Callithrix jacchus: one gene and its partner. The main gene of each other region encodes a partner of the protein of the gene in region 2 in a complex. Links are inferred from orthologs where the notes say so. Each region holds a gene or a part of one and is shown on either strand. Other genes may lie near its edges.

What was found. The genes of interacting proteins can lie anywhere in the genome.
Region 1: PRMT5 (region 2) and WDR77 share a complex: the UniProt entries of both Homo sapiens proteins name them as parts of the methylosome complex. The link is inferred for Callithrix jacchus from reciprocal best matches to the Homo sapiens genes PRMT5 and WDR77.

What each region holds. Positions count from the first base shown.
Region 1 is NC_133508.1:149,396,564-149,401,929, forward strand, and holds part of WDR77 (methylosome protein WDR77), read right to left. Parts: intron 2,624-5,366; coding exon 2,553-2,623; intron 2,421-2,552; coding exon 2,366-2,420; intron 1,899-2,365; coding exon 1,827-1,898; intron 1,288-1,826; coding exon 1,179-1,287; intron 1-1,178. UniProt on the Homo sapiens protein: Non-catalytic component of the methylosome complex, composed of PRMT5, WDR77 and CLNS1A, which modifies specific arginines to dimethylarginines in several spliceosomal Sm proteins and histones.
Region 2 is NC_133509.1:57,297,072-57,303,085, reverse strand, and holds the start of PRMT5 (protein arginine N-methyltransferase 5), read left to right. Parts: upstream 1-2,401; 5' UTR 2,402-2,416; coding exon 2,417-2,526; exon of another isoform or gene 2,527-2,552; coding exon of another isoform or gene 2,553-2,611; intron 2,612-3,156; coding exon 3,157-3,275; intron 3,276-3,431; exon of another isoform or gene 3,432-3,566; coding exon 3,567-3,652; intron 3,653-4,128; coding exon 4,129-4,263; intron 4,264-4,950; coding exon 4,951-5,063; intron 5,064-5,208; coding exon 5,209-5,258; intron 5,259-5,466; coding exon 5,467-5,630; intron 5,631-6,014. UniProt on the Homo sapiens protein: Arginine methyltransferase that can both catalyze the formation of omega-N monomethylarginine (MMA) and symmetrical dimethylarginine (sDMA), with a preference for the formation of MMA.

The DNA of each region.
Region 1 (5,366 bases), on a different chromosome or scaffold from region 2:
CTTATATTTTTATACCCCTGAGCATTGTACCATAGAAAGATCTGGGATAAATGACAGTATCTGTTTCTTCTATCAAGTGAGAGAAGGGTGATGGTGAAAACAGAGGCAGTTCAATTTTAGGAAAGAGAACATTAAGAGAAATTGGCGCTCTTAATGCTATTAGCGCCCAGAACTCCCTCGCAAGTTTCTGTATACTACTTGGAGGTATGTGTACTCCATCCAGCATGAAGACAGCTATTCTAGAATTATTTAGCCCTCATGTCTAGGAGGTCTTAACTGGAAATTCCTTTATTACTCTTACTAAGCCCCTAATTTCTCATTCCCTGTCTTTACTAATACTTTTCTTTACAAGACTTTTTAGGTTTTATAGGTCTGTAAACTTCTCCTCTTAGCTTCTGTCTAATCCATAACCTACCACAAAATTTGTTAAATTGCATCCTGAGACCAACTCTTCCTCCCTCCGGTGCCTTGATTATTCCTGGGCTGGCCTTCTTGTAATGCTTCGGCTTGTTTTCTGTCATATTTATCTTTCTCTCTACTTTTCAGCTCATGCTGCGCAGGTCACCTGTGTTGCTGCTTCTCCCCACAAGGATTCTGTGTTTCTTTCATGCAGTGAGGTGAGAGATAGCGCCTTCTTCCCTAAACACACTCCAGCCCTCCATAGGCCACAGTCTCTAGTGTGGAGATTTTCTGGCCTGCAGTTGCTCCTTCACACTTAAGAGCCCTCTGAAGACCTTTCATGTTCCGAAACCTCAGCTAGAACACTGTCTGCTTTAAAGAACTATTTAATCAGCTAATGCTTTGAAAATAGGCCGGGTGCAGTGGCTCAAGCCTGTAATCCCAGCACTTTGGGAGGCCAAGGCGGGTGGAACACGAGGTCAAGAGATAGAGACCATCCTGGTCAACATGGTGAAACCCCGTCTCTACTAAAAATGCAAAAAAATTAGCTGGGCACAGTGGCGCGTGCCTGTAATCCCAGCTACTCGGGAGGCTGAGGCAGGAGAATTGCCTGAATCCAGGAGGCGGAGGTTGCGGTGAGCCGAGATCGCGCCATTGTACTCCAGACTGGGTAACAAGAACGAAATTCCGTCTCAAAAAAAAAAAGAAAGAAAATATACACACACCCCCTCACTGTTCCCATTCATACCCATCAGGCCCCTGATAACAAAGACCAGTACCTGTGTGGTGAGAACACCAGCCCAGTGACACACTGGGAATGTACAGCTGAGCTGAGGACACAGCTTGTACTCTTGGTGTCAACAAGGGAGACCATCCCATTTTCGTCCCCTGTAGAAGAGAAAGGAACATGTCACAGTGGTTAAGAGCATGGACTTGGTGCCAGCCAAAGTCAGTTTTCTCTTTTGGTGCAGTAGTTTTCTGGTTTGCAAAGTAGGAATAAGAAGTCACTGGACGATTGTGAAAATTAAGTTAATGAATGAAGGAGTTATTATTTTAACCACAAACCATGTCACCATATGCACAGCCTCATGACCGCAATAGCCCTACACCTACCCACAGTCTAAGAGAATTCCGTATACAGCAACCCACTTGTTTTGTGGCTCTCTGACTTCTAGCCATGCCCAGAATACCGGAGCTGGATCAATCAATCAAAAATCAAATCCACTGGGAAAAAAAATGTTCTCCAAAGCTACAGTAAAACTACATTAGCATCACCCCCACCTCCCCACCCTTAATTCATATTCATCTAGCGTCCACGAGTGCTGATAAGACTGAGCAGCAAGAGCCTTGTGCATTGTGGAGTCAGCTCTTTTTCTCTCCTCCTCCCCTTTCCCAGAGTCAATATGAAGTCTGACATGCTGCCTTACCAAAGACAAAGACTTCACTTTGCTGAGGATGCCAAGCCAGTGAGGTAGGAAGGGAGCCAGAGGCACTGCAACCTGCAAAGAGAAGAGGGTCTGGACTAAAACTCAGAGCCCAGAAGAAGCACTTTCTCAAGTGACATCACTATAAATCCTAGGAGCACCTTTATTGGAGTTCCCAAACCCTGCTAAGGCAGCAATGTCCTCATCCTTCAGCCTCATAACCATTTATCCACCAGCCTCCTGCGCTTTCTGGACATGAGTCGCAGGCCAGTTTCAAACACAGTCATGAAGATAACAATTCTGGCCCCTTTGTCCTCCCACCTAATAAAATAAATAACCCACCCAGGAACTGGCCCTTCCTCTTGGTATTCAGTGCACAGAATGGGGTTAGGAGAGCCTCAGTGGAAAAGAAGGAGATTATGTTACTCATGTCACAGTAACTAGATCGGGAATCTGGCAAATCTGCTTTGACACTGGCCAAAGAAAGTCTCTTCTATTGGGGTTCCAAGTACTATTCTCCCACCAATGAATCTCAGACTCACCAATGTGTGATGCTGGCTTGGGACAGCGGGTATCCCAAAGTAAAATTCTATTGTCCTAGAGGGAGGCGGAAAAGAAAAAGGACTTCACAATCCAAAGGAGCAGCTGTAGGCCAGAAAATCTCCACACTAGAGACTGTGGCCTATGGAGGACTGGAGTGTGTTTAGGGAAGAAGGAGCTATCTCTCACCTCACTGCATGAAAGAAACACAGAATCCTTGTGGGGAGAAGCAGCGACACAGGTGACCTGCGCAGCATGAGCTGAAAAGTAGAGAGAAAGATAAATATGACAGAAAACAAGCCGAAGCATTACAAGAAGGCCAGCCCAGGAATAATCAAGGCACAGGAGGGAGGAAGAGTTGGTCTCAGGATGCAATTTAACAAATTTTGTGGTAGGTTATGGATTAGACAGAAGCTAAGAGGAGAAGTTTACAGACCTATAAAACCTAAAAAGTCTTGTAAAGAAAAGTATTAGTAAAGACAGGGAATGAGAAATTAGGGGCTTAGTAAGAATAATAAAGGAATTTCCAGTTAAGACCTCCTAGACATGAGGGCTAAATAATCCTAGAATAGCAGTCTTCATGCTGGATGGAGTACACATACCTCCAAGTAGTATACAGAAACTTGCGAGGGAGTTCTGGGCGCTAATAGCATTAAGAGCGCCAATTTCTCTCAATGTTCTCTTTCCTAAAATTGAACTGCCTCTGTTTTCACCATCACCCTTCTCCCACTTTATAGAAGAAACAGATACCTGTCATTTATCCCAGATCTTTCCATGGTACAATGCTCAGGGGTATAAAAATATAAGGGTTCTAAACTAAGGGACAAAAGGGGCTTTTCCCTAAGAACCAAAGAGCAAAAGGAGCATCTGGGTAAAATTCAGTGAAGGGGCTGATCTTGTTTCAGTCATATCACAAACACAAGTATGGTTCTGTGACTTAACTCTTGTCTAATGACAAGAACTAAGAAATATGACAGACTGTTGTGATAAGGACATATTCAACAACTTTATCTGAATGTGGTAACAAAGTCAGACTTTTTCTGACAGAAAACTTAGTCTAACTTGGTCCACTGGCTTTTCAACACACATTGGCATTTGCCAGTTAGGCTATCTGGCAAACATTCGTACAAACTAACTAGGAATCTAAAATTTTGACAAATGTATGCCTGAAATAAGTATGTAATAAATTATATGCCAGAAGTTACCTTCTCTGCAACTACTTAAAATTTTTTAGGTATCAGTTTAAAAATGTATGAGGGGGCATCGATTTTCAAAATTGTTTTGGGAGGTCTACATGTAAAAAACTTTAAGTCACTGCTACATGTTAATTAGAAACTGCGAAACTCTTCTACGGTCATTCTACCAGACTTTCCCAGGGAGTCTGAATGTGGCCCCTCCCTGAGGCAGAAGGATGGAATTTTACTGACTTCCACAGTTCTTTCCTAGCCCTAGAATTCACAGGAAGCCAACAGAATAAGAAGTAAGAAAAGGAATTTATTGCTCACTTGAACAAAGCAAAGCTCTGGGGCAAGCACCATGGTGGTGTACAAAAGGTGAAGAATGCATGGTTCCTCTACCGCCAAAGGTTTTGGAGCAGGGTGCGGTGGCCCATGCCTGTAATCTCTCAGCACTCTGGGAGGCCAAGGTGGGAGGATCATTTGAGCCCAGGAATTTGAGAGCAGCCTGGGCAACATAGCAAGACTCTGTACAAAAAATTAAGAAATAAGAAGGGATTTGGAATTCAGCAAGGGGAATAAGACACAAACACGAAGAACTAAGGGATGAATGGCTGAAGTAATGAAAAAGAGTTAATATTAACCAGGAAGGCACATCATATGTCTAAGAAATAAAAAGCAAACATAATAGACAGGGGACATTGACTTTTTTTTTTTCCTGAGATAGTCTCACTCTGTCACCCAGGCTGGGGAGCAATGACATGATCTCGGCTCACTGCAACCTCCGCCTCCAGGGTTCAAGCAATTCTCAGGCCTCAGTCTCCCAAGTATAATCTGGGATTACAGATGCGCAGCACTACACCTGGCTAATTTTCGTACTTTTTAGTAGAGATGGGGTTTTGGCATGTTGGCCAGACCGGTCTCTAACTCCTGGCCTCATGTGATCCGCCTGCCTAAGCCTCCCAAAGTGCTGGGATCACAGTGGTAAGCCACTACACCCAGATGGGCATTCAATATTATTGTAAACCTATTTGAAAGTGACCCTGAGGTCCAGCACACTGGACCTTGGATATGAGTCTGTGATTTCTCTGGCCTATAACTGAATCATGCACTTTGAAGTCAGAAACGGCAGGGAAAGGCACTTGGCCACGGAGTGAACCACGGTGATCACCCAGCACCTAAATCTCATAGCCATGCGCATATTAAGGCTCCAGATATTATCTGCACAAAGAATGGCTCCCAAGAGAAAGTCAACCACTAGTGCTGTTAACGAAAGTGAGCAGAAAGAGGGGCATTAAGAAAGTGACGGTTCTCACCAGAAAACAGACATTTTATGAAGGTAAATACTCAGAGGTTCAAGATTTGAAAGTCTCAAGGTTTATCCCTCGAGAACATCAAGGATCTAGTAAGCTTGAAGAGAGGAAATGGAAGGGCTTCAATGTCGTGACAAGAAAATGGGAATGTAATCCACACGCCTCAGGAAACCAATAAAAGACCAAAAGAGCTAGACTGCTAGTGGAGAGATGAGTGCCATCACCTGTGGAAGATAAAGCCTGAAAGTGAATGGGGGGCATAGAAATGGACAGGAAAGTGACTGATCAGTGGAAAAGACTAAAAAGAACTCAGTGGGCAACTGATGGTGGGGAAACAGAAAGGGTGGAGGAGGACCAAGACTCTGAGCCCTGTGTTGCCAAAGAGGTGAGGCCATCAGTAGCAACAGGGAAACTGGCTGGTCTGAAGGGAGCCAGTTATCTCAGTTGATTGTTCAGTCAGTTACAGATTAAACTCCTTGTTCTACTCTTTCCCCCCTTTTCACTACTGCACTTGA
Region 2 (6,014 bases):
TTGAACCTGGGAGGTGGAGGTTGCAGTGAGCTGAGATTGTGTCACTGCACTCCAGCCTGGGCTATAGAGCAAGACTCCATCTCAAAATAAAATAAAATATAATATAATACACACAAAATGCTGGTGGAGCACTCACCCACTTGCTGAGAACAACCACTTACTGGAAAGACCTGGAGGAAAGAATTCCAAATAAATTCTGTAGATACTCCCAATTCTAAGGAGGGGGAGCTTAGTGACTTCTTTCCAATGAATACAGTATGGAAAGCTGGGGCCAGGGAGAGGGTGAGAGAGAATCACTTAACAGTGGAGAAGCCGGATAAACTACTTCTTGCCAGATGATCAAAGTCAACATTAAATCATAAATCATGTGGATAGTATGTACCCTTGATATGATGTGATTAAAGTAGCAGTTTTTTTTTTTTTTTTTGAGACAGTCTCACTCTGTTGCCCAGGCTGGAGTGTAGTGGTGTGATCTCGGCTCACTGCAGCCTCTACTTCCCTCGTTCAAGTGATTCTCCTGCCTCAGCCTCCAAGTAGCTGGTATTACAGGCATGCCCCATCAAGCCCAGCTAATTTTTGTATTTTTAGTAGAGATGGGTTTTCACTATGTTGGCCGGGCTGGTCTTGAATTCCTGACCTCAGGTGATCCACCTGCCTTAGCCTCCCAAAGTATTAGGATTATGGGCATGAGCCACCGCACCTGGCAAAAATACCACTTTAACTTTGTGATCTTCCTTCCCAAATCACAACCCCAGTCTAAGCATGAGAAATACAGACAAATTCCAGCAGAGGGATATCCTACAATATACCTAATCAGTACCCCTCAAAATTACCAAGGTCATCCAAAACAAGGAACATCTGAGAAAGCATCATAGCCAAGAGGAGCCTAAGGAGACATAGCAACTAAATGTCATATGATATCCTGCATGGGATCCTGGAGCAGAAAAAAGTCTGTGGGTAATAATAATAGTAATGATAATAGTAGACAAAAGCACCTCCAGTCCCTTCAGGCTTCATGGTGCATTTTTTTAGTTCTTTGGTTTTCAGACTTTCATTCTTTTGAGGCACTTGCATTGCACCCAGGGTTCCCCAGAACTTATCCTATCCCACAGCCTTTCCGTATTTCCTATGGCTCTGTCCCCTACGAGCGATGGTGATCTCAAGTCTTGTGGCTTCAGTTCATTTCTTCTGGCGACCTCCATCTCACATGGTTCAGATCACTGTTCATCCAACTTTCTATTACACAGCGCCCCCTAGACGTTCAATTCAGCATGACCAAACCCAAACCCTGACTTCCTAAACCCGCTTCTCTCATTTCTTGCTCACTGCATAGACAGAGTCGTAGGCATCACCCCTGGCTTTTCTTTCACAGGGTTCCCTGCCAGTCGATCCCTAAGTTCTGCCAGCGGCGCCTGCGTGGGGCGGACTCTTGTATCGTGTTCTCTTCTTTATCCTTGCTGCCAGGCCCTCAACACCTGTGAGCCCTCTTCCTTCAGGAGTTCCCATTTACCTCCCTATGCCTTTCCTTGCTTCCTTCCTTTCCATCTCTAGCAGCTACTGACATGGGAAAATGTAGATTCTCTCGGGTCTCCACGCCAGGCAATTTCATGACTGCTACCCAATGAAATTCCTTACCGTGAATTCCTTTTCTCCATCTTGAGGTGTGTGTTTAGGCGTTTATTTACATCTTTTGTGTTTGAAACAGAATCACTAGGAAGTAGCTGAGTTACCACAGTTTATTTTAATATGTAGCATTGTAAAGTGACAAAGCCCATTTTAATAGCACCAGCCATTAACCCAGTTTTCTCAATTGACACAAGAAAAACACCTCTGAAGGTAGTTACGGGAAAACCTGACATTAGATGACTGCGGAACCCAACCAACCTAGGACCTGAAAATGAAAGTGAAGATAATAAAGAAGCTACAAACTGAGATAGGAAGGGGAAATTAGAAAATGCTCATGTAGCAAAAGAGAGCGGCCTCACCGAGCCAGCCAGGAGTCGAACCTGGAATCTTCTGATCCGTAGTCAGACGCGTTATCCATTGCGCCACTGGCCCTGGGATAGGAGCGTTTTCTTCTCTGCTATTACTTCAAGGTTATACTGCAGGGTTTCATGGGAGGTGTAGTTTCTTAACTGAATTCGGCCGCTGCACTAAGCATTCTGGGAGATTGAAGTTCATCAGAAACCAGACCCTGAGATTGGTGGATCTGCAGGAGCCACGCCGTACGCCACTGTGCAGCCGGCGGATTGGAGGGAAAAGCCACTCTCCTTCTCTCCCGTTCAGGAGCGGTGGCAGACGCTCTGGTTGTTAAGGCGACTCGTCCCGCCTTCTGGGGGGGGAGGGGGCTTCAGTTCGGCTTTGTGATTGGCTACTACTATCAAGGAATCCCGGCGTGGACAGCGCGAGGAAAAAGATGGCGGCGATGGCGGTCGGGGGTGCTGGTGGGAGCCGCGTGTCGAGCGGGAGGGACCTGAATTGCGTCCCCGAAATAGCTGACACACTAGGGGCTGTGGCCAAGCAGGGGTGAGGGCCGGATCTCCACGAGCGGAATGCTGGGTCCGAACTCGGGGACGGAGAAGGGCAAACTAGTCATCCCGGAGAAGCAGGGGTGAGGGGGTCGGCTAGGATGAGGGCGGGAGAGACTATTACTCTTTGGAGGGGAGGATCCTCGGACCCAGGAAAGTGAGGAAAAGAACTTATGAGGGGCCTGTGGTCACTGAGTCCAAAAGTTGGGGGAGTTGTTGGGTAAACTCAAAAGGGCCCTGGAGGTCGCGATTATTGTCTGGGAGTGGGAGGAGGTTTTAGGGGGCAAGGGAGAGAAGAGGCTAATTTTGACGGGGGAGGCATGGGCGGAACTGGGGCAAATCAGGATGTGATGTTCTGGAAAGACTGTCACTTGAGGAGAAAAAAATTCTGCTTGTGGATTTCCATCGTTTTCTCCTTACATTTTCCATGGCTGTGTTTTGGGGAGAAATTGAGGCACAGTACAGCAGAAGTGATATCCCCCAAGGTGGTCTGAACTCAGCAGCCTAGTGGGGTGAACTGATGGCAGCTGAAAGGGCTGTGGAAAAATCAAGGTAGCCTAAATCCAGTTGCTTGGCTCTCTGGCACTGCTGCTCTCTTTACATGATTCTGGGTCTGTCGCGGTTGTAGGTTTGATTTCCTCTGCATGCCCGTCTTCCATCCGCGTTTCAAGAGGGAGTTCATTCAGGAACCTGCTAAGAATCGACCTGGCCCCCAGACACGATCAGACCTACTGCTGTCAGGAAGGGGTAGGGACCATCCCATATGCCCCTTAATTATTAGAGGCAATAACAACTTAAGCTTTATCGGGGCCCTCATTCTCCTCCTTTTCTGACTTGGATATATTTGTTAGTCCCTGGGATATAAATAACTTGTTTTCTCCTTGCTTCTCTATTCTGCACCAGGCTATCCCACATCTATGTAGAAAAAAACCTTTGTCTCTCATTTCTACACTTGAGTTCCTACTAAAAACTGAAAATTGAACAAGTAAAGTGCTGAACCTTATTCAGTATTTGTCTTTCTTGGGTGGGGGAGTGCAGACTGGAATACGCTAATTGTGGGAAAGCTTTCTCCATGGATCCGTCCAGACTCAAAAGTGGAGAAGATTCGCAGAAACTCTGAGGTGGTAAGACTGACTTCTTTGCTGGATCTTTCTAAAGATTAGGTCTGTAACCATGCTGGGTGGGGAAAGTGGCCCCCTCCCACCCCCAGTAACTTGGTAAATCAATTGAAACAATGAAATGAAAGCTATTAGGCTGGGAGCAGTGATGCACACCTATAATCCTAGCACTATGGGAAGCTGAGGCTATAGGATCACTGGAGCTCAGGAGTTCGAGACCAGCCTGGGCAGCATAGTGAAACTTCGTATCTATAAAAAATACAAAACTTAGCCAGGCATGGTGGTGCATGCCTGTGGTCCCAGCTACTCAGGAGGCTGAGGTAGGAGGATGAATTGAGCTTGGGGAGGTCGAGGCTGCAGTGAGTCAAGATTATGCCACTGCACTCCAGCCTGGGTGACAGAGTAAAACTTTGTCTCAAAAAGAAAGAAAAGAAAGCTATTTGCTTGTTAACTCAACCTTTTCCTCTTTATATCCATTTCAGGCCATGTTACAGGAGCTGAATTTTGGTGCATATTTGGGTCTTCCAGCTTTCCTGCTGCCCCTTAATCAGGAAGATAACACCAATCTGGCCAGAGTTTTGACCAACCACATCCACACTGGCCACCACTCTTCCATGGTATAGCTGAGAGGCTCTTTTCCTGCTGCATATCATGGTAGTCAGATTGTGTTAAGTGCCTTTTTGTGCCTAGCCATTCAGTGAAGGTTATGTTTGGCAGAATTTAAATATAAGTATTGCCAGGCACAGTGGCTCATGCCTGTAATCCCACCTTGGGAGGCTGAGATGGGCAGATTGCTGAGCTCAGGAGTTCAAGACCAACTTGGGCAACATAGTGAAACCCCGTCTCTACCAAAAAAAAAAAAAAAAGCCACACAACACAACGCAAATTAGCCAGATGTGGTGTCATGCACCTGTAGTCCCAGCTACTTGGGAAGCTGAAGTGGGAGGATGACTTGAACCTGTGAGGCGGAGGTTACAGTGAGCTGAAATTGTACCACTGCACTCCAGCCTCAGTGACAGAGCCAGACCTTGTCCCCCCAAAAAAGGTCAGATTGCCCTGCCCATCTAAAAGTGGTATGAAGAGAATTTCAGAACATGTAAATGTAATTATTTTAGAAACTTACATAAGGCAGATATTTACCTAAGGATATTTACCTAAGATACACGTTCACTTACAAAATCACAAATTGGGAAAAGCATAAAGGGATTAACGAGGTCTGGATGAAGACTTTTTTAATTGAGGGAAACTTTCTGGACCCAATCAGTTCAAAAGAGAGTTCTAAAAGGGTGAATGTTTATGTGCAGTTCTGGATGCGGGTACCATTGGTGGCACCAGAAGACCTGAGAGATGATATAATTGAGAATGCACCAATTACACACACGCAGGAGTACAGTGGGGAGGAGAAGACATGGATGTGGTATGTCTCCCTTTGCTGCTGTACCAGGGTGCAAGGGATAGGGTGAGGGGAAGTACAGAGCGGAACCTGTAGGGAGGTCTTGAGCTATGGTGATTGGTCGGCCATATGTAGATGACTGTACTTTTCTGTATTTGACTCTGAACAGGTGGCACAACTTCCGGACTTTGTGTGACTACAGCAAGAGGATTGCAGTGGGTGAGTCCATGAGGATCCTGGGATGAGTGTCGCTTCTCTGACCTGTGAATAAGAAATAGGAATTTTGTGTATAGTATACAATTTTGCTACTTTCCCACTATCTCAGACTGCCTTTCTCTGAAAAAGTAAACAGAATTGCACAAAGGAGCAAGGAAGAGTGTCTTGACTGGCAGTGGTTGACAGTTTTTCTTTTGCCTCACTCATGTAGCTCTTGAAATTGGGGCTGACCTCCCATCTAATCATGTCATTGATCGCTGGCTTGGGGAGCCCATCAAAGCAGCCATTCTCCCCACCAGCATTTTCCTGACCAATAAGAAGGGATTTCCTGTTCTTTCTAAGATGCACCAGAGGCTCATCTTCCGGCTCCTTAAGGTGAGTGGTAGAAGGGTCCAAAAGATGGTCCAGCTATATGTCTTGCTTTATTCGCCTGTGTATGATTGTTTTTTCCTGTGAGGCTGACATTGTGTGTGTGTGTTTTGGAGTTTCGATCTTGTTGCCCAGTCTGGAGTGCAATCGTGCAATCTTGGCTCACTATATCCTCTACCTTCTGGGTTCAGATGATTCTCCTGCCTCAGCCTCCCGAGTAGCTGGGATTACAGGCATGCGCCACCACGCCCAGCTAATTTTTGTATTTTTAGTAGAGACAGGGTTTCACCATATTGGTCAGGCTGGTTTTGAACTCCTGACCTCAGGTGATCCACCCACCTTGGCCTCCCAAAATGCTGGGATTACAGGCATGAGCCACCATGCCCACCC